4 linked regions of the Caenorhabditis elegans genome follow. The protein of the gene in region 1 purifies or fractionates together with the protein of each later gene. This does not show direct contact. Each region holds a gene or a part of one and is shown in the gene's direction. Other genes may lie near its edges. The genes, in order: ilys-5, lys-4, glrx-10 and fkb-1.

The links.
Region 2: the proteins of ilys-5 (region 1) and lys-4 fractionate together in Caenorhabditis elegans (co-fractionation; one large-scale study listed by BioGRID). This does not show direct contact.
Region 3: the proteins of ilys-5 (region 1) and glrx-10 fractionate together in Caenorhabditis elegans (co-fractionation; one large-scale study listed by BioGRID). This does not show direct contact.
Region 4: the proteins of ilys-5 (region 1) and fkb-1 fractionate together in Caenorhabditis elegans (co-fractionation; one large-scale study listed by BioGRID). This does not show direct contact.

Annotation. Positions count from the first base shown.
Region 1 is NC_003284.9:6,530,760-6,540,317, reverse strand, and holds ilys-5 (lysozyme), read left to right. Parts: upstream 1-3,477; 5' UTR 3,478-3,540; coding exon 3,541-3,574; intron 3,575-4,206; coding exon 4,207-4,319; exon of another isoform or gene 4,320-5,061; coding exon 5,062-5,178; intron 5,179-5,916; coding exon 5,917-5,973; intron 5,974-6,670; coding exon 6,671-6,769; 3' UTR 6,770-6,828; downstream 6,829-9,558.
Region 2 is NC_003282.8:11,618,495-11,626,115, reverse strand, and holds lys-4 (LYSozyme), read left to right. Parts: upstream 1-2,941; 5' UTR 2,942-3,017; coding exon 3,018-3,219; intron 3,220-3,810; exon of another isoform or gene 3,811-3,831; intron 3,832-4,177; coding exon 4,178-4,620; 3' UTR 4,621-4,687; downstream 4,688-7,621. Other genes in the region: lys-5 (Lysozyme-like protein 5), read left to right, coding at 542-746, 1,378-1,820; dsl-5 (Delta-like protein), read left to right, coding at 5,178-5,228, 5,275-5,642, 6,073-6,200, 6,253-6,614.
Region 3 is NC_003279.8:1,045,581-1,052,988, forward strand, and holds glrx-10 (Glutaredoxin-1), read left to right. Parts: upstream 1-4,015; 5' UTR 4,016-4,022; coding exon 4,023-4,106; intron 4,107-4,824; coding exon 4,825-5,058; 3' UTR 5,059-5,147; downstream 5,148-7,408. Other genes in the region: Y34D9A.7 (PSP proline-rich domain-containing protein), read left to right, coding at 762-998, 2,376-2,606; Y34D9A.8 (Low-density lipoprotein receptor domain class A), read right to left, coding at 5,344-5,549, 6,336-6,445, 6,989-7,097, 7,214-7,274.
Region 4 is NC_003282.8:11,033,618-11,040,166, forward strand, and holds fkb-1 (peptidylprolyl isomerase), read left to right. Parts: upstream 1-2,964; 5' UTR 2,965-2,968; coding exon 2,969-3,096; intron 3,097-3,141; coding exon 3,142-3,253; intron 3,254-3,304; coding exon 3,305-3,484; 3' UTR 3,485-3,557; downstream 3,558-6,549. Other genes in the region: kdin-1 (KAP NTPase domain-containing protein), read left to right, coding at 5,269-5,382, 5,667-5,732, 5,778-5,879, 6,011-6,184, 6,233-6,340, 6,498-6,549.

The DNA of each region.
Region 1 (9,558 bases):
TTACGTAAATGTCAGAATTAGATTATGAATGGGGCAAATTGAAAATGGAAACTTTACAAAAGCAAGGGGAAATTTGAATAATAAAACCGCATGTTTTTTATATGATAAACTATATTGTGACGTAAAAAGCAGTCCCGTGCTGTTCAAATTATTTGATTTTTAATTCGAACCGGAACATCTCCATTTGCAGCGTGTGTGGGTGAGAGACCTAAGGCAACGGGTACCAAAAAATTGCGCCTTCCGGGAATTGGGATTTGGAAAATATGCCTAATTAAAGTGACGAGATATAAAGTTGGGTACGGAAGAAGTGTTATCAGGTTATATCCAGTGTTTTTCGGCTACCAGGCGTACACAACTCGTTTGTTACTATGAAAAAAGCGACACGGGATAATGGAAATTCGAGAATTGAATTTAAGAAAAAGATAATATGATAGGGTTAAAGTATTACTTTAGAGATTTAAAATCATGTTTGTCTTCCCGCGGTTCTACTCCCTTTTCATTTTATTTCATTCAACGCCTAACTATTACTAACTCTCTTTGGAGAGGAAGTCAAATCAGCGCAAGATAGATTAGAGACCAGTTTGGATTTTTCAAAAGGTTGCAACTAACAAGACTGAAAGTCTAATCGGATAATAATCTCTTTCCAATCCAATTACAAATTAAAAACGAAGAGAGGAGAACTTGAAAAGAGTGCGTTGGTTGGAAGGCAGAAGGATATAGTTGAAGTACATCCTGAAGCAAATCGGATGTTTGCTTGTTGTCAATTGATGACTCAGTTCTTAGAACTTCATGTACTGACAATTTGGTTATCACTATCGCAAAAAAACAATCAGACGGATGCAAGAATAGCTAAAATAGTCGCGGGTTCAAAATAGATATTCGTATATACGTTCTGCAAGGTTGACTATAAAATGTTTTCAGTTACGTTTCAGTTACTTATTCATCACATTACGTACTTATTCATTGTCAAAGTAGATTTAGCAATCAAGCACTATAACATAAGTATGACGTTGTATTGACATTAACGGTGATTGATTCTGACAATTCATTCAGCGCGGACGAATCCGATTTACGTCGTAACTATATTCTTACCCAGTGCTTTGTTTCAATGGGTTTTATCAGCACAATAAGTTAAATTGAAGCGTAAAAAGCAAACGACATGTGTTTTTTCACACTCATCATTACGCTTTATTTGGCCATATCACATCACAACATGGGTCAAAATTCTTAGTTCTTGAATTCTTTGTTTGTAACGGATCTCAAAAACAACTACAACAAATTGAAAAGTGGGACGTTGAAAAGATGGAAACGTTCAAATTCAAACACGTGGCTAAGAAGGAGGAACTAGCTCAGTGGAAGTTAGAGCAGCTCAAAAGCTCGCCGGCGGTAATAGTTTGTTTTCGAATGACACCAAAGATTCGAGACTTTCGTTGATTATAAGAAAGGCCTTTTTTCGATGAAAATAATAATTAACAGAGAACGTGGAATCTCTGTTCACAATTTCCGAACTTAAAATGCGAGTTCTAAGAACACAATTTCGAACATCTGCTGTTCAAGTACAATTTCCTGGTCCGGTATGTGAAACATTTTCTACTAGTCCAAGCTTCACTTAGAATACTAAATAGAGTTTGTTCTCAACTGAGTCTTCAGCTTTCGATTCCTTCCTGTCTTTATATAAAAACATGCGCTTCTGGGAGTAAGTTTGTTTTTATTAGATAAAAATATTATCATTCCCTTGTTATCTTTTTGTTATTGTGTTGAATAATCAAACAAGATAATTTTCATTTAAGTGTGTGAAGCGTCCGACCAATTCAGAACATTCCTACTATAACCAATGTAACAGTCTATGTATAAAGTCACATGTTACCACACATTTTATGATTTTTACGGAACTAAAGAAGAGTTTTTAGAAACTACTTGGTACATACTTATCAGAATGGTTTGCACGAAGGAAATTGGTCTTGAATTTCAATTTTCTCTGCCGCTTCTTCCAATCTCCCAGCACACCCATGTCTATGAAGCAAAACCAAATTGCGATGGAATCGGAGCAATTTTTGATATCAACTGATAATGTTCATTCGTTTCCGAAAAGTCTTAACGAGGCGAAACCATGCCGATCGCACTATTTACAGATCATATTATAACAAAAACGGTTTGTGTTTCATTATTTGATAGCACAAACTGTAGACAAGGAAATACGCACCTAGTTTGGTTTGCTGGAAGAGCATGACAAAAGAAAACAATTCTCCATAAAAGCGTCTAAAATGTAACAATGAAGATCGAAAAGTAAAAACTTGTGGCAAAGTTCTAGACTGGATAATTGATGCGACAACCAAGTGGTTTTGTTGCGTTTTTAGTCACGATTATTCCAATTCAGGCTCTCAAATGACGTCGTCACACATAATGAATGAATTATGACAAAACAGACTGCACTACTGAAGAGAGCAATGCGGAACGAGGATTCAGTGTGTAAACTAAGGTAAATCCGCGTGAACGTCGTAACTGCTTGGATTTACTGTCTATTCACTCATTAGTGAGTGATATACTTGTATTGAATGAAATTTCCTAAAGCTCCCGTCGTTACGGAATTCACGGTCAATTGAATTTACAAAAACCGTCCGTATTCAAAAACATTATTATAAAATGAATAAAAATTGAATTGTTCGATGTTTGATTGTTTACTGTTTTGGTTTTTGTTTAGATTATTCTACTTGTACTTGAATTGTCCTTTTAACATTTTAGTGAAAATAATCAAGCTTGAATGAGTTTTTTTTCAGTTTCACATGACTTAACCCTTGCACAAAGTTGTTGAGCCGGAAACTAAAGCTTACTCATTAGAAAAATTTACCTACTACCTGATCGTAGTTAGGGTTTTTACAAATAATCTTTGTGTTAAAAGAGAAAAACACGCTTGTTTTGTGAAAAGAATGCTGGTTCGAGATGTATCTGGGGAACTGAAAAACGTCGGTTCAAAAATTAGCTCAATATTATTTTTAATGGAACTTTATAAGAAAAAAACATCATCACATAAATACGAAAATCTAAATATTACCTCATTGAAATTTGAATAACAAAAAAAATGGTCAAAGACACAAATAAATATAATCTTGATCCTATTTCAGAGTATTTCCTCGTCCACCCCCACCAATCAAAAGTATATTAGGAAGCCGCGTTCTTTTTGACCCGAAGATTGGATTATAAGATTAGCAACAGAGGTGTATCCTTTCACGGAAAATTGCAGTCCATTTCAATAATCACAAGATTTCTGATTTGTTGCATTGTGTTGGTTTTCTGGGGAAGGATATACGTTTTTCTAGAACTATCCATGCCACACTTTGATTGGCATTGAAAGTGGCATCAATTGCTCTTTCGCTCTGCGATCACAGAGCTGTAACTCCGCCTCTGACAGTCTTCGGTACAGGTGCTTACGTAGGAATTACCGGGTTTTGAGATAAGGAATTGTGATCAAAGGCACGTGTAAGTTGATATAAAAGAGAGTCCAAAAGTTAGCAAACTCAGACAGCTTGTCCATCAGCCGATATGTTTGTCAAATCGCTTCTGCTCCTTTCTGTCGGTGAGTGTGATAACAAAATTAAAACTGGTTTCAGTGAACAGCAAAATTGTATAAGATCTAGTAAATCACCAGCTCAAAAGAATTAGATCAAAACCAACATGAAATTGGATTTTTAAGGTGCTAATTTAATTTCAATGTTTACATTTTCTTTTTTTTTTAGTTATCAGTTGAAAATGTTTCGATAAGTCTGAACACTGATGCGTTCAATCAATTAAAACAAAACTAGAGAAATTTTTAATTTCCATAAGGCTGGTAATATCTTCTTTTAAAAACAAAGAATGAAACGTCATTTAAAGTTTAATATCGGCTAACCAAAGATTAATCTAGACTCAACTACTCCCATATTTAGTGTTAACTCTTGTTGTTGTTTGCTTGTTTATAAAATTTTATCGGATGAAAGTTCGCTTAATATTAGCTCAAATCATTTCTCGGCTCACGGGACATCTGATTATAGGTTTACAGCTAATAGCACGTTTTGAAAGCTAAATATGTGTTTCACATTTGTAAAAAACAATAGGGAAAAGTAACAACAATTATAGATCGAAGAAATAGGAGAAAAATAAAAATAAATTGAAACTTTAAAAAAAGGCAGAGACAGCGAATAGAACTATTTCGTGATTACGGTATTTCAGCTATTGCGTACGTTTCCGCCGACTGCCTCCACTGCATCTGCATGAGAGAGTCAGGATGCAAACCAATCGGTTGCCACATGGACGTTGGATCCCTCTCCTGCGGATACTATCAGGTAAATCAAGATCAACTAGGGAATATGTGAATCTAGAAATGGAAATAGCAGAATATCAGAACACGTTTTCAATTTTGTCATGAAACCATACAAGATGTTCGGTTGCCTGTTTATTGTTTTGCCATTTAAATAAGGAAACAATAACACTTCAGAAAAATACGTGAAATTCAAAAGCTCATCTTTCATGTCTTCATTAATTGATGGTTTTTGAAATCGGCACGAAATGTTTGTTATGCCTCATTGAACAGATATTTCTTTAATGAAAATCTAGCATAATTGAAACGGTTCATCGGACCACAGCCCCCATATTTTTCACATATCTCTTCTCAAGCGAATCGGAAGTTCCTAATCAGTATGGTAAAATAAATCGCGTTGAATTTTAATTTTGAGTTTTTTCGATAAAAATGTATAACAAGAAACGATGTTTTAAATTGCTAAAACAAAAAAACCACAAAAGAGCAAATGCGTACTTTCCCGAGGAAATGGACAGGAAATGCTTTGAAAATGTTAAAACGGGATTGATTTTTGTATAGGGGAACTTTTGCATTGAAGCTAAGAAGATAAAAGGCATACTAGAAATGAAAACTTTCAAAACCATGTAGACAAGGAAATTGTATGGAACAACAACAAGGATATACAAAAATTGAACTCTACTCTATGTATTCCAGTTTTTTTTAATTTTAAATGTACCAAGACCCAACTATAAAAAGTAAAGAATAAAAATATAATATGTTTCTTTTAGATCAAGATTGGATACTATGAAGACTGCGGACAACCAACAAAGAAGGCTGGAGAGACTACTGAAGCTGCCTGGAAGAGATGTGCTGATGATCTTAACTGCGCTACCACTTGCGTCGAGGTACGTGCAGATTTAGCAACAGGATACATGCAAAAAAAATCATCAAAATTCTTATTTTGGGAAAACGGGTGTTGAGTGGGTGCAACTTTTCATCCTTAAATCGCAAAATTCCGGATAGACTGCGGCTTATTTCAGTCATGGAAGCAATTCTATCCTTTGGGAATCTCGTCATATCATTCTCAAAATTAAAAACTTCGCGACTAAATTTAGTGTACGAATTACGTGGATCGCCCACCTGAGAACTCAAATTTCTACTATCTGCCGCTAATTGAGGCAAATTAATTTAAACGTCATGTAGACAATACTGCGATGAGTAACTTTTCTGCAATTTCAACGGCGGAACTAGAAAAAAAGGAACTAGCTCAAAATAAGTTGCGAGATAATGTCAAAAATCACAGAATTAACCTGTAAACAAAAATGCACACATAGCAAACGAGCCCAGCAAAAAACGTCATTGTTAGCTTCTATGTATGGCTATAGCGGTGGCGACGTTAACGACATCAAAGACAATAAGTACTTATTGTTATCAACACCCCGCTAACAACGTGCTTACCACGCCATAAAAAGTAGCAAAGAAAGATTATGACGGCTTGAAAAGAGGTTAAAGAACTCTAATACGGAATGAATGTTTGCACTCTTCACAAAATTTATTGAATACGTCAAAAATCACATATACAAAAGAGGAAATCTAAAATTTTAAAATCTACATGTTATACAAGCATTTTGAAATAATTTCAGAACTACTACAACCGCTACAAGTCTCAGTGCAATGGACTTGGAATGGGAGCTTGCCAGGTGAGTCGCCTACGCAGTTGTTGTTTTGCTCTGGGCACTTTCAAATTGTGTAGATGAAATACAATTTAAAGTTTTCGAGTGTCTGGTAGTTTGGAGGAGGTTGCCCCCCGATTTTGATTTTTGAATTGATCAGAAGGAAACAAAATATTTCATAAAGTGATGCGAAGTTTTAGGAAAGATACAAAAATTTCCGCGAAAAAGGGGTCAGAGTTTTTTATTTAGAGCAAGAATGCTACTACGCAACTAACTATAAGAGGTTGAAAATTAAATGTCGAACATTTCTATTTTGGGTAGCAGGGGAAAACATTAATATGCCATAGTCACTAGGTAGGTGAAACGACCCTCTGGAATAGAGAAATTATTGCAGACCTGAACAGGTCTGACGTAGAAATGTCTAGAGCATCCAAGTAGTATTCCACCAAAAAATGTACATATACTTCCTGACAATTTTTGGAAAATTCTGACGACAGAAACACTACAATTTTTTCTCGATTCTTTATCTTTTAATCATTTTGGTCACACTTGAGCAGTTTTTTAACATCATTTCATTGAGTGGACATGTGTATTTGACAATTGATAATAGTGGGACTAACAATCAGAAAACTACGTAGCATTTTCAGAAGTATGTTGTTTTGTTCAAGTTAGGACAAAAGACCTTAGATTTCAATCAAGCAAATGGCAATCCATTCAATTTCAGATCATGTCCCGTAACCACAACGGAGGACCACGTGGATGCCACAACGCCAACACCTTGGCTTACTGGAACGGAGTTAAAAGCTGCTGTGGATGCTCTTAATTTTCAATTTTATCAAAATAAGAATATATATGAATCAATAAAGCTTATTTAAAATCAAAGTAGAAAGGATATCAAACTTGTTTATAAGCTTTTCAAAACATAGGTTGCGAAAAAATGCGAACGTTTTGAAAAATAATTGAGTAGGCGAAGAGGTCAGTGGGTTTAAAATGATGTCAGAGTGAACAATTTATGAGAACAAGCATATCGTTTTCTAAATTTGTAAAGGTCTAAGTAGACCACCATCTATGTCATAGGTTGTATCTTAAAATAAGTTGACCCGTTTTATGATCTAGTTTTATATTCTTTTTGCCTCTGGTGAGAATAAACAAGGCTTTCAATTTGTCTGCTCGATGATGCATGATGTTTACGATACTTTCGGATTAAAATAATCGTGAGATGGATTTGCACGAAAAGGTTGCGGAACGAACAGCTCGAATGATATTAAATGATAATCTCGAATTGTCAACAAAGTACATTATGAAGTGATAGGAACTGTTGTTCGCAGACCTGAGATGTTTTGAAAACTTGATTTTAAAACCTACGCAACCGGAAAATTAAAGATCACAAGATTTCTGTGAGGATCATAACGGGTGTAGGTAGCAACTTTATCTCGGTGTTTCCACATTTCTATTTCAGGCTTAAAAACAAAGTTGGTCTTTTTCGTTCTCAAGTTGAGCTCAAGACAGAAGTTGGGAAAAATATCATTTTCAGATTACCAGCAAACTTTTCAAAACAGAGCAGAAAGAAGAAAACTGATCATTCGTGATAAAATATTTAGTCTCCCGAGGATGAAAAGTTTAAGGAAGTTAACTTTTTTATCTGTTGTTAATAACCTATTTTTTAGATTGAGTATTCAACATATGTTAAAAAAAATGTTTTCACTTCAAAATTTGGAAGAAAATTAGGTACTTTTCCGATTTTTGCCCCCCAAAATATGTTTTACTCAATATTTCAATTTAAATTCACACGTGAATGTTTATTTTAATACTATTTCAAATTTTTAGGCTTAGAAAAAACAATACTAAGCCTGAAATTACAAAAAAGTTCACGTTTCATTAATGAAAATATCGAAACATTTTGGGGGGGCAGAAATCGGAAAAGTACCGAAAATTAACTTAATTAACTTGATAAGTTCAAAACTTGTCTGAATAAAGTAAAAAAACCAAAGATTTTTAAAAGTTATAAAGTGATGCTTTTTGATTATCTATCGTATCCAAACAGGTGGTCAGACAAAACAAACGACACCTCGTGAGAATATCCAGACAGCTAACAAGTGACTGTGAAACAAGGAAAAACTTCAGAACACATATTAACTGAAAAAAAAAACACTTAATTTTTCTTACTTTTCTCTATTTTGTTCTCAATTGATATCATCTCTTTGCCGCTGGTTTTTCTTGCTCTGACTCTGAGCAAGATTTTTATTGGCACGTGAAAAAATTGCATCATTTCAGGGCACCACTGAGCGTGGTCCTGTAGCATGTGACCAACAAAAATTACGAAAAGAAATTAAAAATTTGTTTACTTGAAATTGTTGTAAGTTATAAAAAAGTTCCCTACTCTTGATAAGAACGTCTTATGGAATTCGATATGGATTTTTTTTAATTATGTGTACATTTTTTTACCTAGATTTAGAATTTGAGCCGCGTTAGGGGGGGCTTTTGTGTAAAATTGATTTTTTACAGACGTACAAATCTGTACGAAAAAACCAAAAACAAAAATAGTAATAAGACGACTTGTATACGCGAAACGATAGAATAATTTTGCAAACAAAAATTCTCAGCTTCTGAAATTCTAAAAAAAACGAGTTCTCGCGTGTATTTCTCTCGAGCAATCACTTGATTTATTTTTTGATTGTTCAAACGTTTTTATTTTTCCCTTTATTTTAAACTGAATTATAACAACAATAATTAGTAATTCATAAAAACAATTTGAACTGAATACTAGCTCAACAACATCTGTAATTAGTGGAAATTTCTGTTTTAGCGACATAGTAATTTATAACAACGAGTGTTGTTCCGTTTTAAGTTGTATGACTTTTAAAAGTTGACAACATGCAAAAAAAGATTAATAACCATTTTTATAGTGCTGAAAAGACTAAATGTCTTGATAAAACTTCTCAAAATACTTTTGAATTTTTTTGAGATAAAAAAGGGTTAATTATTGTTTAACTACTTACAGTGTTAAAATAAGAATATTTTGAACACAAATGTAAAATTGAAGAAATAATTGTTTGTTTTATGTGAAGCATCTGATGGAGTCATAACTAACTACTGTAAAGTTCAAGACGATCAAATAGTGGCCTTGCAAAACTAATGGTATTATCCTCACTTCAGCTAGCTGATCCATTTAACTGATAGTCATAAAAACATGAGCAAGTGTATGATATATTACAAAATATAAAAAATGTGCTCGCATGTTTTTCAGTTGTGAAAACATAATCCTTGATGATATTTACCGTTGAGTAATAAGCCAAGAGAAAGAACAAGTGTAATGGTTTGGCATTTTACTACACAATCAAAGTTCTACTACGATTTCGGATTCCCATGGGTACCTTGTGTGCTGTTGTACTTTCATTGTATTATCTAGTTTTTATACACAAGTTTTGAAACATCAGGTAGATATGCAACAAAAAAACTATCCAAATGCAATACTTAAATTGAGTTTCGGTGATTGGCATGTAATTGAAAAGAAATCGCAACATTTGGGGAATGGTGTTATCAGTGTACATGGTGCACTTGAGCATGGAAGAAAAAACCACTAGAACCGTTCTTTTATCAGTTGAACGTGGT
Region 2 (7,621 bases), on another chromosome or scaffold:
ATTTTTGGGTTTTTTATAATTTTAAATCCCGATTCACGAAAGCGTTCTCAGGGCGAGAGCCCGATTCCGCGAAAATGTTCAACGTTTTCCAATTTCCATGTACTCCTTGGCTATAGTGGACCTGTCTGAATTTGTGCTAGACCCAATTAGAAGACAAAGAATATAAGTACAGTAAGTGGAAACTAGAAAATGGTTTGGAAGCCAACATCAGTTGCAAAACCACGTGCAATCAAACAAAACCAAATAATGATAGAGAGAGAAGGAAACATATGATAATTTAGTCTAAAGATAATTTAGATCAAATTCATGTTGGATTGAACATCTTGATTAAGAATTCAGTCGTAGATCTATTCTCAATATTTGTTATTTTATCATTTTAACAATATTTATTAACGAATTGAAATGAAAAAAAAAAGAAACAAAATATTGAGCTCTCTTGAAATTCCTGATTTTATCTTTCCGCTTGCGTCAAAGTCATAAAAGTCTCCGGTATCTGGGAAGTATAAAAGAAGTGTATGGAGTCTGAAATGTCTGGAGAAACATGAAGCATTTTTTCATTACAATCCTTCTTTTCTGCAGTGTTGTAAGTGCAGCTAGAAATGGAATTGATATCAATTCACCAGTATCCACTTCTACTTTTACTTGTATTAAGAATGCTGGATTTTCATTCATAATTCCCAGAATTTATCATTCATCGGGAAGTGTAGATACTGTTGGAGTGCAAAATGTCAAGAATGCCAGAGCTGGTAGGTTTTTTAATGAATTAATATGTATGCTGTGAATCATATTCATTGAATGCCCTATATTTATTTATGAATACATTAGAGACTTACCTTAACTATTAAGGTTACTGTAGGAAAATGCGCAAAATATTATATTCTGAATCTTCGCTTTCTTGGAATTTAGGATGTGGCAGCTTTTTGTGGAAATTTTTTACAGTAGCTTCGTGGCGAGAACCACCATTTGAATAGGACAAACGACAACTGAGATATTAATTGTCAAAGTTGAACAATGGGATGCAAGACTAATAGAGGAAATATTACATATTAAAATTTTCGAGCTAAAAATATTTAAATTATGTCTATAGAAAGGTAACTTCATTTTAATTATAATAGAAACATTATCTGTCAAAAATGCAAAACTATTATGCAAAACTATTGTTAACGCCAAGAGTCGAAACTCCTATTAGATTACGGTCAGTGAGTTCAAATGAGGCTTCAAATGGTAACGTGAGAATTCGAAAGTTTCAAAATTAGTGAAATCAAAAGTATGAAGATAACTTCCGGGTATACTGTTTAAATTTTCAAAGAGGCTTAATGGTTACTGTAGACTCCCAGTGTAGCTAGAAGTTGTTTGATTTTTAAAACACTGTTGCAGCTGGCCTCACTGATGTCGATGGATACATCTTCCCTTGCCTAAAATCGACTTGCGCATCTGCTGCTAACCAAGTTAAGGCGTCTCTTGATGCAGTTAAGGCTGCTGGAACTAAGATCTCCACTCTATGGCTTGATATTGAACGTCTCAATTGGCCAGCTGATCATGCTAGCAACCGTGCATTCATTGAAGCAATGGTCAGTGAAGCAAAGGCTTATGGACAACAAGTTGGAATCTACAGTAACTATTACAATTGGCAAGATATTGTTGGATTGGATTATCATGGACAATCTAGTTTGATGCTTTGGTGGCCTGCATACGATGGAGTCAAGGATTTCTCAAAGTACGCTCCATTCGGAGGATGGTCGAAGCCAACAATTCATCAGTGGTCTGACACCACTACTGGTCCGTGTGGAGTCTCTGTTGATATGAACTACATTCCATAAATAATTTTTTAGCGCTTTAATAATAAAGTGTATATTTCAGTAAACAACATTCGTTCATTATTATGATTTATTCATTCCTTTAATAACGTTTGAGAATTGCTCCGAGCAATTCAAAGTAATCTGAAAAGCATCGAAAATTACTTGAAATTTAATAAGGAAATTCAGTTTTCGATGACTAATTTTTATTTTGAAACTACTAGAAAGTCTATTCCAACTTTTATAATAATTTCTGCAATAATTATTGAGGAATTCCTTAAGGAATGATACAGTACGCAAATGAGGCATGTACGTTATTATCAATTTTTGTGGAGTATTTCGTCAATTGATCACATTTTGATGCCATCGTCGGTAGCAGAAATCACGTGCAATCAAATAATGATAGACGAAGCAAAAAGGTTGATAATGTAGTCTAATGTGCGAAGTTCAAATTGCTAATCGAAAAATAAAACACATTGGGGAGTTGGGTTTTCAGAAAACTCGGTATATTTGAAATCATCTGAAAATCGGCTAATGACTTTTAATACAATTCCCGGTATTTTTTAGGAAGATGTACCGTCAAAGAGAATAAGTCATGAGCTCAAAAGCTTTCTAGGTCACAGCCGACCTGTGATCTGAAGCAGGGAACAAATCAAGAACATAATCACGTTTTCAAGCATCTAACTTTAAGCACCTTATGTTTTCTCAGCTTTTCACGCTTCCAAACAGATTAATTAAGTTATTTTCAATAAACTGTATAAACTTCAAAAAATTTACAGATAAACAATGAATTTCACAATGTTTGGATTGAAAAATTGATAATTTCTTTAGTGTTAATTTAGGCAACGCCAACAAACCACGCACAAGCCTGCTGCCGGGACCATTAGCTTGTAGAAATAATACAGTACTCGGGAGGGTCGAAGGTTTCAATTTTAGTTCTTTTGATCTCATTGTTGCAAATATTGAAAAACGACGAGAGATAACGGTCGAGAAACCCCGAGAAATATTTTCGAAAATGAGACGAAAGTGTAGTTGCTCTCCATATTTTGTTTCATATTTTACATCAGCCTCTGAATAAAACAAAAAAGATAAGAGAAGAGGGTTTATGAAGTTTTTGATTTTATCTTTCCGCTTGCGTCAAAGTCATAAAATTAGAATCTCCGGTATTTGGGAAGTATAAAAGAAGTGTGTGAAGGCTTAATCAGGGGAGTTCAGAGAATCATGAAGTTCTTCGTCTCGGCTTTGCTTTTGATCGGTGCTGCAAGTGCAGCTAGAAATGGAATTGATTTCATTCAACCAGTGTCTACTGCTACATTTCAATGTATTCATAAGGCTGGATATTCTTTCGTAATTCCAAGAGTCTTTACTTCTGTTGGAACTCTTGATCATACTGGAATTCAAAACGTCAAGAATGCTAGAGCAGGTGAGCATTTCAGATGGGTATCAAGGAATGGTTTTTACCATTTTCAAAATAATTTCCATTCTTGGCAATTTGGTTCTCCTTTCCCTCGCGATTCTTCGCCTCACACTTCTAACTTATAGGTCTGTGCATACTTCCTAGTATAAGTTATGAGTATTAAATTTGTAAGAAAATACTTAAACTAACAAAATCTTATCTCTTTTTCTTATTTCTTTTTGTTTGTTTAAAAACTGCCATCAAATAATTCAAATACACATATTCCCAAAAGTCAAGATGTAGTGGTCAATGAAATATCTTTTCGTTACGTTTTACAACCATTCATTGTCCCCTCTGACTGTCTAGTTTACCAGGGCATGCATTGTCACATGATTGTAAACAGAGTATGGAAAAATAATAATATTCAAATATATTTGTCAATAGGTTGAATATAGAATTCAAAATTTAAACTAATCTTGCTCTTTAATATGTTTTACAAGTATACATACAATGCATCTAGTGAGTGAAACAATATATTACCTCTTGAAACTAAAAAATGAAAAAAAAAATTACAGTTTCTTTCTAAGTATTATTGTCCAGAATAGCAGAAAATTCCAATTTAGGTGATGGTTCGACTGAAAATGTAATATGAATGTTCAAACTTGTAGGGACTACCACAATTATGCTTTTCTAAAAAATTAAACATTTTGGAAAAACTTCCAAAAGAAAAGTTTTAGGTGAAAATTTTTTCAACCATAACTAATCATATGATCCTTTTGAGCTGAATATTGAGACCGTAAGGGGGCCCTTATGATCACTTTAAGTTGGAATAATCAGATCATAAGGATGAGCTTTATAGTATTCCAAGTCAATTATAAGCATTGTACGGGTTCGAACATTCAAACTGATAATATTCCAATTTATTAAAACATCTGAAGTTTTCTACAAGTTTCATTCAGTACCAAGCTAATTACAAATTTTGCAGCTGGCCTCACCGATGTCGATGGATACATCTTCCCATGCTTGAGATCTAACTGCCCATCTGCTGCCAATCAAGTTAAGGAAACTCTTGATGCTTTGAAGAGTGCAGGAACTCATGTCTCTACTCTCTGGCTTGACATTGAACGTCTCGCTTGGCCAGCTAATCACGCCAGTAACCGTGCATTCATCGAGGCAATGGTCAGAGAAGCTCAAGCTTACAAGCAACAAGTTGGAATCTACAGTAACTATTACAATTGGCAAGATATTGTTGGATTGGATTATCATGGACAATCTAGTTTGATGCTCTGGTGGGCAACCTATGATGGAATTAAGGATTTCTCAAAGTTCGCACCTTTCGGAGGATGGAGCAGACCAACAATTCATCAATGGGAAGGAACCACTACTGGCCCATGTGGAGTCTCTGTTGATATGAACTATGTTCCATAAATAGCTGACCAAAATGTATAAACATGAATAAACAAATTTTTATATGTAAACCCATACATTTTCGCTAGTTTCAGACGCGCAATTGATTTCTTGATTTTTTGAAACAATTTAAAACTGTAAAACTGACAACAAATGGGTCAGTTTTAGAACATTCGAAAATTATGTTTTATTTTCAATAATTTTTTGTTACTTATTTAAAAAATTTATCATTATTGTTCGGAGACTTTAATTATATTCTCATTCAGAATTGTTTTCTATTTTTTTAAATCTAGACCTGTGAGTTTCAAGTGAGTTTCGGCCAAAATAGTAACATCAAAATGGCTTTACATTTCAAAAAGCAGATACGGTAAAACTTAAATTTTTGTTCTCTTTTCTTTCAAAACTATTATGTTGTTGATCTTCTAGACACGTTGTCAAGTCAAAATGCGTAGTGATGACGTCACTTGGGGTAACCTTGAATTACACAATTGACCTCAATCGAATCAAAATTAAAGTTGACGAGTACAAATATTTAGTCTTGTTTTTTTGTTTCTCCATCTCATTATCAACATTTCAACATGCAACTTCTTGCGATTTCTTTCTTATTTATAACTTTTATTATTGAATCGGTGAGATTTTTTGAACCACTGTAATTTTAAGATTTTATTTTTACAGATAATTTGTTCTGGATATCTAGAATTACATATTCAAAGTCCTCATATACAAACCGCAATTGTGAACATCTCATCAAATTTTCGAACAGAGAAATCAAAAATAGTGCATTTAAAACTTAAATCTAATGTACCATTTAACGTTACAAGGATTCCTGTGAACTTTGATAATATCTACAATATAACCATAAAATGTGGAAAATCAGAGGAAGATGGCAAGTTTAATTCATATTTTAAAAATTCAACTCCAAAGTATTTGGGTCTAACTGACACAACAATTGTCTCAACTGTTCACCCACGTGTTGGGCTGTTATCACCGGCTGCTGTAGCCAGACCTTTAAATGGAATTCGAATCGTTATTGGTTGTAATAAGTAAGCTCGTTTGTCTTGAAATTGGATTAAATGTTTGTCACAAGACAACTTAGAAATCACACGGTACTGTAGAAAAAAAAGTAAATATATCTTGTGAGCATGTTCTAGAAATCTAGGATTTCGTCTGGAAATTTTTTATTTGGAATTTTGTATTCCGTGCAATTTCTATTGATGACAGTGAATTCTGGTTATAGAGCTAACGGAAAAATTGGAATGTTGCTCAAATTCTTTGTTTATACTTGACATACTTGACTACGGTTCTATCATAAATTTCATTGTAAAATCTAGCTTTTGAAGAAAAGTTTGTCAAAATGTCATTTTAGGTCCTACAACATTTCAGTTCATGATTATTACGGCTGAAAGTCTGAAAGTCTAAAAGAGAAAATATACCATTTTTAAATTTTTTTTTGAATCTGTATCATTGTTTTAGAAATTGGTTTGGTGAGAAATGTGAAACTTTTTGTGATGAGAACAAAGCAACCAACTCGGGAAAACACTGCAATTTTCAAGGAAAACCAAGTTGTTTGAATGGATTAACTGGGTCAAAGTGTGAAAAACGTGAGTTGCATATTTTTAAAACTAATCTCTACGTGAGTTTTATAAATTGCAGTCATTGTTCCAAAGTTGTGTAACTGTGAGAATGGTGGAGTTTGCATTGATTCAAATCCAAAACCAATTTGTGAATGTTCGAAAGCCTATCGCGGTGAAAAATGTGAAAAGAAGCATATATCAGCGTCTCTTTCCTCACATTATAAAGGAGACTTTTGGAATTTTCGAATGACATTTTGGCAGTTGATATTCTCGAATTTAGTTGAGAATGAGTTGGCAGAGATTAGCAAATCGGAAGCTTGGGAAACAATTAATAACCTATTGGGAAATGTTTCTGATACTCCGTTTGCAAATCGTCCAAATAATACGGAAACATTCCCAATAACTGGTTCTGTTAATCTTGATAATGTTGATATCATTTAAATTTAAGTTCTATAAAATCATTTGAAGTAAATAAAAACATTCACAGCTTTATTGTGATTCATTGTGACAATTTCATGTATAAAACAACTGAACCATTTATTTATCAAAATATTGTACCATTTTAATAAATTTTCAAGCTCTAACAATTGAAGTTTGCCCTGAACATTAAAAAAATGGAAAGCTGCTGGAACATTTTAAAAGTTGTTGTTTTTCTCTTAGTATTTCCTAATATTTTTTAGATGGTTTCCGATAGTTATGGGAACGTTCTGCTACATTTTTAGTGTTTTTTTTTATTCTGAAAACTCGTAAAAGTAAAACCATAAATTTCATAATTTTTGAGAAGTATCAAAATTTTCTAAATTAACGTCGAAAAGTTGTGTATTTCTCAAAAGGAACTCATCGCGTTTTCCTGGTAACCTCTCTTGTCTTTTCAATAATACGTCTTCCCACATGCAGATTTGCAGGCAACAGTGGTCAACTACTCAAAGGAAAGCGACACCAATCTATATAGTCTCCCCAGAGAGAGAGAGGAGAGAGAGAGAGAGAGAGATCTTCCCAGAAGCCTGGTTGTGTATGTGATTCTATATCGATCGCTATGTGCACACCGAAAACGCCGCGTTTGCAGCCCCCTAGACCGACTCCAATGTTTTCGGTCATTCATTTTTTTGCTTATCCCCCCTTCTTGTGAGTGCGATCCACTCAAATATAAAGGGTTCCTGGCGAGGGCCATCTGATTAGGGTGCTTGCACTAGGCCAATTTGGGGACTCGTGTTCTGTGGATCAGTTAAGGAAAACAACCCTAGGTCTTTTAGCTGGTTTTGCTACAGCTTTCTTTTTTGTCCTGAGTTGATTAGTTTGAAGAAGATTTCCGATCAAAATTTTAACTTTTTAGCTAATTAATTTTTTTTTCAAAAAAAGAAGAGTTGTAACTCTTCTAATCTTTCAAAGTTTTTTAAAGTGCTCTTCTTGTGATTTTTCAAATTTCCATTCTCTTCTCCCCTTATCCT
Region 3 (7,408 bases), on another chromosome or scaffold:
TAAAGAAAAAGTGAAAATAAATGCAAATTTTCGATTGAAAAACACGATTACAGGCGTAAATCAGTGAAATTAATTAATTCAGATTCGAAATCGTTTAAAATCGGTACTTTTTCATTTTTACGCCTGTAAGCGTGCTTTTTAATCGAAAATTTGCATTTATTTTGACTTTTTCTCTAAAATTCAAGCAAAAATACACCGAAAACCTTAAAAATCGGTAGAAAATAACAAAAAATAAAATAGATAAATTTAAAAACGTGCAAGCGCGCTCCATCGAACAAATCCAATTGGCGGAAATTCAAATAGGAATTAGGCAAAAACTGGGATTTTTTCAATTTTCAAAAAATCATATAAAATTTAGAAAATTTTTTTGAATTTTTTTATCATGATATTCGGTCATTGTGGTACCATAGGCATGTTTTAAAGCAATTTCCCCACTGGCGCTAGTCCACCTTTAATAAAATATATCAATAATTTGGCTATAATTTTCAGTTTACGTTTTTCAAATAAAAACTTGAAAAAATATTTTTTTAAAACAAATTTTTGCCGATTTTTCTACTTTTTTTAAAGCTAAAAATCACAAAAAAAAGGTTCAAAATCCAAAAGATTTCTGATTTTTTTGGTTTTTGCAATTTTCTGTCTAATTTTCACTCCAATTTTCATAGATTTTTCTCTAAAATCATTTGCTTTGGAAAAAATTTGAAAAAAACACTTTTTTTTCTGAAATTCAAAAAAATGTCACTTAAAAAAAAATGTCATTCCAGGAAGTTGCCAGAGATCACGAGGGCACCGAGAAAATCCGAATTCGTGAGGAACGTCACCAGCGATCCGAACTTCGGAAGATCCGAGAACAGCAGAAAGAGGAGGAGGAGCAACAACAACGAGATAGTGCAGAGAAGGTGGAGAAGGAGGTTACTGTAGATCAAACCATATCGGAGGTGGCAGCGGCGGCGGCGGCAGTCGAGGAGAAGCCTGGGACCCCGGAGCCCGTTGGGAGAATGGTAATTTTGAAAGAAAAAAAAACCGATTTTTTACCAAAAATCAATCATTTTGCCATTTACCATTTTTTCCAGAATATTGATTTTTCCAAAAAAAAATTTTTTCTCAAGAAAATCTATTTTTCCAAAAAAATTCGATAACTTTCCGAAAAATCTATATATTTCCAGTTTTTTTTTCAGTAAAAAAATTTCCAGAAAATCGATTTTTCCAAAAAAAAAAATCCATATTTTTCTAAATTCAATACTTTTTTCAAAATAAATCGATATTCTTTTCATTTTGCAAATATTAAATTATTTTGTCTAAAAATTTTTTTCCAATCGATTTTTGTAAAAAAAAAGGTTTCCAAAAATATAAATTTTAAAAAAATCGATATTTTTTTTAAAAACCTGTTTTTTTTCCAAAATTCCAAAATCCTTTCAACTTTTACCAATTTTTTTTTGAAAAAATTCGATATTTTTCAAAAAAACTTTTTTTTTAAACCAAAAATAAATATTTTCCAAACTATTTAAGTTTTTTTCGAAAAGTAAATATTAAAAATAAAATAAAAATGAACTTTTTTCCAAGTTCATTTTTATTTTTTGAAAAAAAAAACGTTTCTAAAAATCTTTATCCTTTAACCAAAAATAAATATTTTCCAGAAAATCGATATTCTTTATAGATTATCGATTTTTTTCCAAAAAAAAAAAATGTCCTGAAAATAAAATAAAATACACATTTTTCTCTATAAGTCTATACTTTTTTCCAGAAAAAATTGAATTTTCTCAATAAAAAATTGATATTTTTCTCTAGAATGCTATATTTTTCCAAAATAAAATCTAAATTTTATTCCAGAAAAAAAGGTATTTTTTCTAAAAATCAAAAAAAAAATCCAAGAATTCTATATTCTCAAAAAACGGCATTTTTCAAAAAAAAAATCATTTTTTTCAGTAAAAAAATTTTTTTTTTCTAAAAATCAATATTCTTCCAAAAAATTGAAATTTTCATCGATTTCTCTCCCAAAAATATATATCTCCAGAATATCGATTTCCAATTTTTTTTTCAAGGTTTTTTGTCCAAAAATCGATTTTTTCTTTCCAAAATTTTTCCAAATTTTTTTTCCGGTGAAATCAATATTTTTCAATATATGTAATTCCAGATTATCGATTTTTTCTTTTCAGAAAACATATTTTTCCAAAAAAAAAAAACGGATAAGAAAATCGATTGCCGGAATTTTGTTGAATACCGGCAAATTCCCAGTTTGCCGATTTGCGGGAAATTTACAATTCCGGCAATTTTCCGATTTGCCGGAAAAAATCGTTTTCCGCCCACCCACCTGATTCAAAAGTCGATATATTTCAAAAATTGATATATTTCCAAAAAATAACAATATTTTTCCACAGGGAGAATCAATTTCGGAATTCATCGGCACCCCGATCTTCTCCCGCCGTGACGTCACGGGTACGTGGATTGAGGATACTGTACCATCGCTCGAAGCGTTTTCCGTCGGCATTGTGCCATTCGAGGCGAAAGAGGAGGAGAAGCCACGTGGCATTTTCAAAAAAATTATGAGTACTTTGAAAGGGATCACTGGAAGAAATAGTGGAGATGATGAGATGAAGAAGAAGGAATAATTTATTGATTTTTTTTTTTTTTTTGGATTTTCGACTTTAAAATTAGCCTAAATTTATCCTAAAATTATCCTAAAAATTAAAATTTCACATGGTTGACAAATTTGCAGTGGAGCGCATTTGCAGAATTTTTTTTTTGAATTTTTTTTTCATAAAAAGCGTAACATTTTCCAAATTAATGGGATTTTTAAAGGAAAAAATTATCCCAAAAATTTTAATTTTCTAATTGAAAAAAGTGTTATTAGCCCAATTTTTAAAGGTTTTTTTTGCAATTTTCATCAGAAAAAGCGTTAAAAATATCAATTTTTCGTGAAAAGTTGATGAATTCTCTCAAAAACTCGGCAAAAAGTACCGCCAAAAATTCAAATTCTCCAATTTTTCATCTCTACCAGCAAATTCGCGATGGAGCGCATTTGCAGAGTTTTTTCAGAAAAATCGTAAAATTTTCCGAATTAACGAGTTTTTTTTTAAGTAAAAGTGATCCCAAAAATTCAAAATTTTCCGATTTTTGAAATTTTTTTGGTGCAAAAAAACTAATTTTCAAATTAAAAAAAAGTGATTTGTCTAAAATAAAAAGCGTTTAAAAAAACCTTTTAAAAATTTTTTTTCCCAAAATTCACGTGGTGCCAGGGGCTGTCCCATCGACGGTTTGATCTACAAAAAATGCGGGAGTTTTTCGCCCAAAAATGTTGTGACGTCAGCGCTTTCTTAACCATGCGAAATCAGTCCCCGCGCATTTTTTGTAGATCAAAGTAGATCAAATCGAAATGAGGCATTCTGACACCACGTGAAAATTTCAAATTCTCCAATTTTTCATCTCTACCATCAAATTTGCGATGAAGCGCATTTGCAAGGCCTTTTTTTAAATTTTTTAAAAACTCCTTAAAGTTAAAAAAAATCATTTAGCTTTAGAAAGCCCAAAAATTAAAAAAAAATTTTTTTTTAATCGAATATCAAAAATGCATTTGTGCTCCACCGCACGGCGGTAATTTCGAAATTTCTTTAAAATTTTTTTTATAAATTTCTGTATTTCACAACTGTATTTTTTCCCGAATTTTCCTCGCCTAATAACACTATTTGTCATGATTCTTACGTCATTGTCGCCGCCGTTTCTCTTTTTCTCTCGCCACTCTCTCATTTCCATACACTATTTCCACTCTCATTTTTATCATCATTTTCTTCAGTTTTTGCTGCTTTTAAAGCCTATGTTTTCCCTTTTTATATAATATCGCAGAATTTTGTTTTTGTAAATTTAATATATATATATATATATTATTTATTTGATGATAATGTGATTTCTAATTTTTTTTTCCCCAATTTTTTTCAAATTCAAATTGTCTCTACGCTTTTCTTATACTTCATTGCCTTTTTTTTTCAACAAAAATTTGAGAAAAAACACCAAAAAATTTCAGAAAAACCATGTCAAAAGCCTTTGTCGACGGACTTCTCCAATCTTCCAAAGTTGTCGTATTCAGCAAATCGTACTGCCCGTACTGCCATAAGGTAACACAATTTTTCTGAAAAATTTGAATTTTCCTCGAAAATTGCTTTTTGTCATCAAAAAAAAAAAAAAATTTTTCTGAACAATTTTGTCCTAAAAAATTTGCTTTTTTCTGGATTTTCAGCGAAATTTCCCAATTTTTTTGAAAAATTTATTCCAAAAAAAATTATTTTAAAAAATCGTGTGCAACAGAGCGCAGTTGCACCAGTATGAAATTTTGCAAATTCAATTTAACTTAAAAATCAAACATTTCTGTATTTTTCTGAAAATGCAGAAATTTTGGGTCTCGTAGCGATTTTTTTTGAGAAATTTTCGGAAAATTGAAGACAACGGCAAAAATCAATAATTTGCGAAAAAATCTGTCACGGGGTTCTGGCATTCCTCATTGAATTTTTCGCGCTCCATTGACAATCGGCTGCCGGACAACGCGTGGGAAAGTGTCGTGTACTCCACACGGACAAATACATTTAGTTTTACAACTGAAATCGAGCCGCGACGCGACACGCAACGCGCCGTAAATCTACCCCAGATATGGCCGAGCCAAATGGCCTAGTTCGGCAAAAACTCTTCCATTTCAATTTATGAGGGAAGCCAGAAATCCGTGAAAATTGAGAAAAATATTATCCATTTTCAAAATCTTTTTTTTGCAAAATTTTTGAGTCTCGGATACATTTTTTAAAATAATTTTTTGAGAAAAATTAAAAAACCCCAATTTTTCAGGCTCGTGCTGCTCTTGAATCGGTCAACGTGAAGCCCGACGCTCTGCAATGGATCGAAATCGACGAGCGCAAGGATTGCAATGAGATTCAGGATTATCTTGGCTCTCTAACCGGAGCCCGCTCGGTGCCACGTGTCTTCATCAACGGCAAGTTCTTCGGCGGCGGTGACGACACAGCGGCCGGAGCCAAGAACGGAAAACTCGCCGCACTGCTCAAGGAAACCGGAGCTCTATAGAATTTGAATCGCCATTAATTTTTATGTATTTGATTTATTTTTTTCTTCATAATTCAATGACACAACCCGAGATAAAAGTGAGAAAAGAGAGAAAAGTAGTACAGCCAAAACACGTGGTGTTAGCAGAGTGTCTCATTGCGGCTTGATCTACGCTGATCTACAAAAAATGCGGGAGAAGAGACGCAGAGTTCTCACATTTTTCTGGGCAAAAAATTCCCGCATTTTTTGTAGATCAAACCGTAATGGGACAGCCTGGCACCCCACGTGCCAAAAAAAAAACGAAATTCAAGAATACATAGAACTGATTAGAATATCGTCTTCGTCGGAATCCTGTTGCAGTATGCTCGGGCCCCCGTGCCCGCCGCCACGTCGATTTCGAAATCCGGATTTTTGTCGTGATCGCCGACGAATCACAGCGACTACGGCAACCGAGAGAACGAAAAACGCGACAAAGGCGAAGAAAATGTGCGAGTATTGGATTGTGACGGTGCCTGAAAATTAAAAAAAAAAGGTTTTTGATGAATATGCGCGTAAAATTCGGTGTGTTGCGAAGTTTGGCTAATTTTTGGCGCATACCATGAGATTTACTGCAAAATTTTCAAAAAAGATATGTTGTTTCACACGTGGTGCCAGGCTGTCCTATTACGGTTTGATCTACAAAAAATGCGGGAATTTTTGTGCGAAATCGGTTAAGAACTCTGCGTCTCTTCTCCCGCATTTTTTGTAGATCTACGTAGATCAAGCCGAAATGAGACACTCTGGTGCGCCACGTGGTTTTACATAGTTTAATTAAATTTGCGCGTAAGATATGGTGTAATATGGTGGCTTTCAATTTGAAAGTTTGCAACAATTGCGCGTGAAATATAGTGTTTTTTTGAGGTTTGGGATTAGTTTGCGCGTGAGATGCAGTGTGTCCTAGTTCAACAGAATCTTGCTCGTATGGCGTAGTATTACAGGGAACACAAAATTCTGAGAATGCGTATTGCACAACATATTTGACGCGCAAAATATCTCGTAGCGAAAACTATGACTACTGTAGCGCTTCTGTTGATTTACGGCCGCTTGATTTGTTGAAATTAATTAAAAATTTAAATTGAATGTCGCTGTGGCTATTCGAAAATATATTCATTTCGACAATCGAGATCCCGTAAATCGACCTACAGTAGTCATTCAAAGAATTACTGTAGTTTTCGCTACGAGATATTTTGCGCGTCAAATATGTTGTGCAATACGCGTTCGCGTAATATAGTCTTCGAAATAAGAAAAATCAATAATACCTGAAGATTCAGCGGTTATCGTCGTTGTCTCCTTCACCGCCGCTACGGTGGCCTGCACATTTGTCTGTCGTGGTTGAGCAACTCCCTCACGAGCCATCGGCGCTCCGCCCCTGGAATATCGATTTTATTGATTTTTTATAGAGCGCAATAGACTCTACATATTTGTGTACACAAACCCCATATCGAATAACTCCGGAAAATCGGTGATCTCCTGTTGAAGAATATTCGAGAGAAGCGAATCCGCCATTTTATCGATTTTTTTTGGATTTTTTTTTCAACAGGAAGTGGAAACTGGAGGAAAAACGAGCCAAGGAATTGGGTGGAAAATTTGATAATTTTACTGATAAGGAAAATGTCGTCAAAATGCTATATAAAATATAAATTTTATTTCGTAACAAGCGTGAAAAAATGTACCGCACAGCAATGACTATTTATTGATTTTTACAAGCCGCACGTGGTGTCAGAGTGTCTCATTGCGGCTTGATCTACGCTGATCTACAAAAAATGCGGCAGAGTTCTCAACTGATTTCCCATGGTTCAGAACGTGCTGACGTCACATATTTTTGGCCAAAAAAATCCCGCATTTTTTGTAGATCAAACCATAATGGCACCACGTGGAGCAATTTCTCATTGGAGCGTGTTTGCAACCTAACCTCGCTTCGCAATTCCACTCGTCGGACCCGTCGGTGCACTGCGTAATCCCGTCACAAACGTCATAATGTGCTATGCATTCTCCGTTTCGACACGCCCATTCCCATTCCCCTGAAAATAGAAGACATGGCTTAAGTTTCTCCGAGATTTCTAGGCCATTGAAAATCAAGCCGATGCGCTCCACTGCAAAACAGTGTGCAGTGGAGCGCATTTGTATCGCAACTCACGTGGACATTGTGGTAGAACGGGTCTTTGTGCCAGACGATCAATATTCGATTGCGGTTCGTACTGAAAATTTTTGGGGAATTTTTCGAGGTTAGAAAGTGCGCTCCACCGATGTTTCACTTGAATTCAATGTTTCATGGATTTCTGGCTTCCCTTATAAATTGAAATGGAAATTTCTGCCGAACTAGGCCATTTTG
Region 4 (6,549 bases), on another chromosome or scaffold:
AGATTCACAGAAGAAACTAAAACCTAATGAGACCCCAGAATACTGCCGGTATTCTGTCAGGACTCATTAGGTAGAGAGGAGATTCACAGAAGAAACTAAAACCTACTGAGACCCCAGAATACTGCCGGTATTCTGTCAGGACTCATTAGGTAGAGAGGAGACTCACAGAAGAAACTAAAACCTAATGAGACCCCAGAATACTGCCGGTATTCTGTCAGGACTCATTAGGTAGAGAGGAGATTCACAGAAGAAACTAAAACCTAATGAGACCCCAGAATACTGCCGGTATTCTGTCAGGACTCATTAGGTAGAGAGGAGATTCACAGAAGAAACTAAAACCTACTGAGACCCCAGAATACTGCCGGTATTCTGTCAGGACTCATTAGGTAGAGAGGAGACTCACAGAAGAAACTAAAACCTAATGAGACCCCAGAATACTGCCGATATTCTGTCAGGACTCATCAGGTAGAGAGGAGATTCACAGAAGAAACTAAAACCTACTGAGACCCCAGAATACTGCCGGTATTCTGTCAGGACTCATTAGGTAGAGTGGAGAGTTGGAAATGAAACTAAAACCTAATGAGACCCCAGAATACTGCCGGTATTCTGTCAGGACTCATTAGGTAGAGAGGAGATTCACAGAAGAAACTAAAACCTACTGAGACCCCAGAATACTGCCGATATTCTGTCAGGACTCATTAGTTAGAGTGGAGATTCACAGAAGAAACTAAAACCTACTGAGACCCCAGAATACTGCCGATATTCTGTCAGGACTCATTAGGTAGAGATGAGACTCACAGAAGAAACTAAAACCTAATGAGACCCCAGAATACTGTCGGTATTCTGTCAGGACTCATTAGGTAGAGTGGAGAGTTGGAAATGAAACTAAAACCTAATGAGACCCCAGAATACTGCCGGTATTCTGTCAGGACTCATTAGGTAGAGAGGAGATTCACAGAAGAAACTAAAACCTACTGAGACCCCAGAATACTGCCGGTATTCTGTCAGGACTCATTAGGTTTAGTGGAGAGTTGGAAATGAAACTAAAACCTAATGAGACCCCAGAATACTGCCGGTATTCTGTCAGGACTCATTAGGTAGAGTGGAGATTCACAGAAGAAACTAAAACCTAATGAGACCCCAGAATACTGCCGGTATTCTGTCAGGACTCATTAGGTAGAGAGGAGACTCACAGAAGAAACTAAAACCTAATGAGACCCCAGAATACTGCCGATATTCTGTCAGGACTCATCAGGTAGAGAGGAGATTCACAGAAGAAACTAAAACCTACTGAGACCCCAGAATACTGCCGGTATTCTGTCAGGACTCATTAGGTAGAGTGGAGAGTTGGAAATGAAACTAAAACCTAATGAGACCCCAGAATACTGCCGGTATTCTGTCAGGACTCATTAGGTAGAGAGGAGATTCACAGAAGAAACTAAAACCTACTGAGACCCCAGAATACTGCCGGTATTCTGTCAGGACTCATTAGTTAGAGTGGAGATTCACAGAAGAAACTAAAACCTAATGAGACCCCAGAATACTGCCGGTATTCTGTCAGGACTCATTAGGTAGAGAGGAGATTCACAGAAGAAACTAAAACCTAATGAGACCCCAGAATACTGCCGGTATTCTGTCAGGACTCATTAGGTAAAGAGGAGACTCACAGAAGAAACTAAAACCTAATGAGACCCCAGAATACTGCCGGTATTCTGCCAGGACTCATTAGGTAGAGAGGAGACTCACAGAAGAAACTAAAACCTAATGAGACCCCAGAATACTGCCGGTATTCTGTCAGGACTCATTAGGTAGAGAGGAGATTCACAGAAGAAACTAAAACCTAATGAGACCCCAGAATACTGCCGGTATTCTGTCAGGACTCATTAGTTAGAGTGGAGATTCACAGATGAAACTAAAACCTAATGAGACCCCAGAATACTGCCGGTATTCTGTCAGGACTCATTAGGTAGAGATGAGACTCACAGAAGAAACTAAAACCTAATGAGACCCCAGAATACTGCCGGTATTCTGTCAGGACTCATTAGGTAGAGAGGAGATTCGCAGAAGAAACTAAAACCTACTGAGACCCCAGAATACTGCCGGTATTCTGTCAGGACTCATTAGGTTTAGTGGAGAGTTGGAAATGAAACTAAAACCTAATGAGACCCCAGAATACTGCCGGTATTCTGTCAGGACTCATTAGGTAGAGTGGAGATTCACAGAAGAAACTAAAACCTAATGAGACCCCAGAATACTGCCGGTATTCTGTCAGGACTCATTAGGTAGAGAGGAGATTCACAGAAGAAACTAAAACCTACTGAGACCCCAGAATACTGCCGGTATTCTGTCAGGACTCATTAGTTAGAGTGGAGATTCACAGAAGAAACTAAAACCTAATGAGACCCCAGAATACTGCCGGTATTCTGTCAGGACTCATTAGGTAGAGAGGAGATTCACAGAAGAAACTAAAATCGTATAGAACCCGCGATGATCACATCTATCCCATGTGCACTAAATTTCCTCGTTTTTACTGGATTTTTGAATGTTTCAGTTGAAAACCAATCTGTTCCGTTTTTGGGAACGGAGTGGATTGATGCCGAGGCTTTGAGGCAGCCTTTGCGAGAGATTTGGCACTCATTTTGTCTGAAATTAATTATTTATAATAGAAAAACTGAATTATTTTGTAAAATTTGTAAAGAAAACGGTAAAAATCTGTTTAAAACTCGGGAAAACTCAAAAACTATGAACTATGAGTTAAAAATCCGACAAAAGTTGCGCCAACAACTTTTGCTGACCCATTACTCGTTTTCTCTGCGTCACAACGCCACGTTTGCTTGACTTTTGTTTGCACACCTTCGATTGCTCTTTTGCACTGATTTCTCTGTCCATTTTTCTATTCATAACGTATTTTTTCAATAATTTTTCGTTGTATTGTGCTTCTAAAAATCAATTGTATTGTTGTAGGATCATGAAAACCGCTGTTATCGTTGGACTTTTGTGCCTATTGGCGATCGCATATGCTGCCGATGAGCAGAAAATCGATAAATTGCAAATTGGAGTCAAGAAGCGTGCCGAGAACTGCGTTCAGAAATCCAGGTAAGCTTACTCTTTTTAATTAAAATAAAAATGTTAAATTTACAGAAAGGGTGATCAATTGCACATGCACTACACCGGAACCCTTCTCGATGGAACTGAATTTGATTCCAGCCGCACTCGCAATGAAGAATTCACTTTCACTCTTGGACAAGGAAATGTTAGTTTTTAAAGAAAAAACCAATATCAATAATTAAAATTGAAATTATAGGTGATCAAGGGATGGGATCAAGGACTTCTTAACATGTGCGTCGGAGAGCGTCGTATTCTCACAATTCCACCACACCTTGGATACGGAGAACGTGGAGCCCCACCAAAGATTCCAGGCAACTCTGTCCTCAAGTTCGACGTTGAGCTCATGAAGATTGACAGAGACGGAGAAGAATTGTAAACGAACTACGGATATTTAGAAAACGTGCCTTTTGTAACTTATTCATGTTCTCAGAGTATAATTTTTTTTTGCAGTTTTTTTTTTTGTCTTTATAAACATGCCCATTCTATATATTTGGACCGTCTGCGGCCATTGATCACAACCGCGTCTCGCTTCTCTTTATCACCTTGTATTGCACTCTGTCAGCGAAAATGATAGGGTGTGCGAGACATTTATCAATTTCCATACACCTTTTTCTCTTCTTACCTAGTAATGCCTTGCTTTCTTAGTTTTTAAGAATGATTATTTTAATCTGAAAATCTGGAATCAACAGTTTCGTAAATATTAGAATTCAAGTATGTGGTTCCTCTGTAAATAAAAAGCACGAATCGAAAAAGGAAATGCATTTTTGAAAATGTCGAACAATAAACAAAAAATTGGAATTCTATTAGTAGAAACCCAATTAAAACTGGCATCCATGAATTATTGCACCAACGATCCGAATGCTTCTTTTCTCTTTTTTTTTGTTCATGCTCCATCCTAACAATAGTTATAAATTGAGGTCGATTCTTGCTCTTCGTTGTCTTCTCTCAACACACGAGTAAATTGAGTATTCCTTGAGAGCCTCCTGTGAGAGTATTTGTGAGCCTTGTATTTCCTTTCTCTCACTGCTTTCTTCTTCAGTTTTGATGTATAAAAGTATGAATAATAAAACTGACATTTCGCACTGAAAATTCAACGTGGTTTCGGGAGTAATATTTGCATAATCCGTCTTCTTGAAACCAACGGAGCGTGATGGAAATTTGATAGGACTCGATATTTTCTCTAGAATTTTGAACTTGGTTTTTTGAATTCTCTATTTTTTTGAGATCTATGATAATCTAACGCTTTTTCTGTTTGCCTACGCTTTTCGTTTTTTTTGTGTTTCTATTGACAGGCTCCCATCCCATCATTTTTCGGTGTCTGCTACTGCGACCACCACTGACAGATGTGTCATTTTCTGCATTTTTTTTTCTGTTTTCCGAATATTGATTTCTATTCGATTTTTGAGGATTAAGAATAAATCATAAAATATTAAATTATTGGTAACTGCAATTGCGACCATTTTCGGAAATCGGTTTGAAACAAGCAAAAATAATTACCGAAGCTATATAATAAAAACCACTCATAAAACGAAGTTTCTCAAATATTTGTCGGAATTTTTCTTTTTAATTTGTAAAAAATTAAAGTTTCCAAAGAAATACCGCAGATTAAAGGCGCTGCCAATTAAATAATATTATTTTCTTTTTTCAGATTTGCAAATACAACAATGAAAGTCGCGTCGAGACCATTACAAAGTATTCTAGATGCGCCTTTAAAGTTACTGTAGGGACTTTTTGTTTTCTCTTTTCGATTTTTCTACGAATGCTTTGAAACTGTTTATTGTAGAATTTTAATGTATTTTAATCAGTTTTTGCTCTTAAATAGAGTAATTCCCAATAATTTTGTATCAAATTTTACCATTATCTACAGAAATTCGTCGGTTTTTCAATACATGCTGTCTATTATTCGTTTTCAACCCCATACAGTAATATTTTTCAGCTTTCAAACAAATAAAAAGAAAAACACAACAATTCTTCATCGATTTGCGAAGAAAAACTGCTGATCGAAATTAGTATTTATACTAAACAAGCGTCTGGAAAGTTTGTATATGACGAAGGACCACTGAAAGCAAGAGAAAATAGAGAAATCCAAGAAATATTGTGACGCGTTGTGGAGACCCAGGACGTTAGGGGAAAGAAGACGAGAAGAAGCAGCGAGGAGCCATGGTTCAAACACTGAGAAGACCGTGGCAAGAAGCGGCAAGCAGTGCTTTTGCCGTCGCCAGTGCTCTTCCGGTGACTATGAATAGTACACAAATTGCTGAGCTCTTCGAACAGGTTATATTTTATAATTATTAATAAATTTTAAGGAAACATTTTGAATCTCAATATGCTAATCTGAATTTAATACGATTAGAAATACTTTAATCGTCAAAAAAATCAATTTTCAAAAACCAAAATTGACAGAATGCTGTTTTATTTCGAAATTTAAGAATAAAGAAAAGTAATCACATCTTCCTAGAAATAAAACAAAGAAAATATCCTTTGAAGATCTTTGTTCAAAGAAAAACACTGAAAACATAAATTTTATTCATTTTTTTTTAACTTTGAAATGATTCCAGGTTGAGCATGGCACCACAGAACTCAGATGTGCACTCACCGCAGAAATATCAGCTCTCAGAAACGCTGTAAGTGCTCGAAATCGAATAAATTATTTCAAAAACAAATTTCAGAATGGAGAATCACTTCTCACAGTTGCCGTTCGATCAGGAAACACAGCAGTTGCCAAACAATTAGCACAATTGGATCCAGACGCAATTGATGAAACTGACAATGTAAGATTTCTGAAATAAAATATTTGAATACTCCAAAAAATTAATGAGCCATTTGATTTTTTTTCGAGTTGAGTTTAAAAAAAATCCTTATTCAAAAGCTGAATTCTTTTTTCAACTGAAAATTATTTCAGGAAGGTTGGAGTGCTCTTCTGAATGCAGCTCACTGTGGTCATGTTGACATTGTTCGATTATTAATTGATAATGGAGCATCTGTTGATCAACCTGATTTAATGGGATGGAGTCCTCTTATGTGGGCAGTTTATAAAAATCATTTAGATGTGGTTGATCTACTTGTTAACGCAAAAGTAAGTTATATATATATTTAATTAGAAAAACAACGATTTTTGTTACCGGCTCATGTAAATCTTATTGACGAAGAAGACGGACTCACACCGTTAATTGTAGCTTCTGGACGTGGATTTTCACAAATTGTAGAGCGATTAATTGATTCAGATTGTCAGGTTGGATTTTATTTGAAAAAAGGAAGTATTCGTATAAAAAAATTTCTAAATAGTCAGAGCTTCTCGTTTTCAATGTTTTTGCTATAAGAATTTATTCCAAAAATTTTTGTATCAAATTTTCAATATAATTCCAATTTATTTTTATTTATATTTTTAGGTAAATGCCTGTGACAAATTCGGAAGTACTGCATTAATTTGGGCAGCTCGAA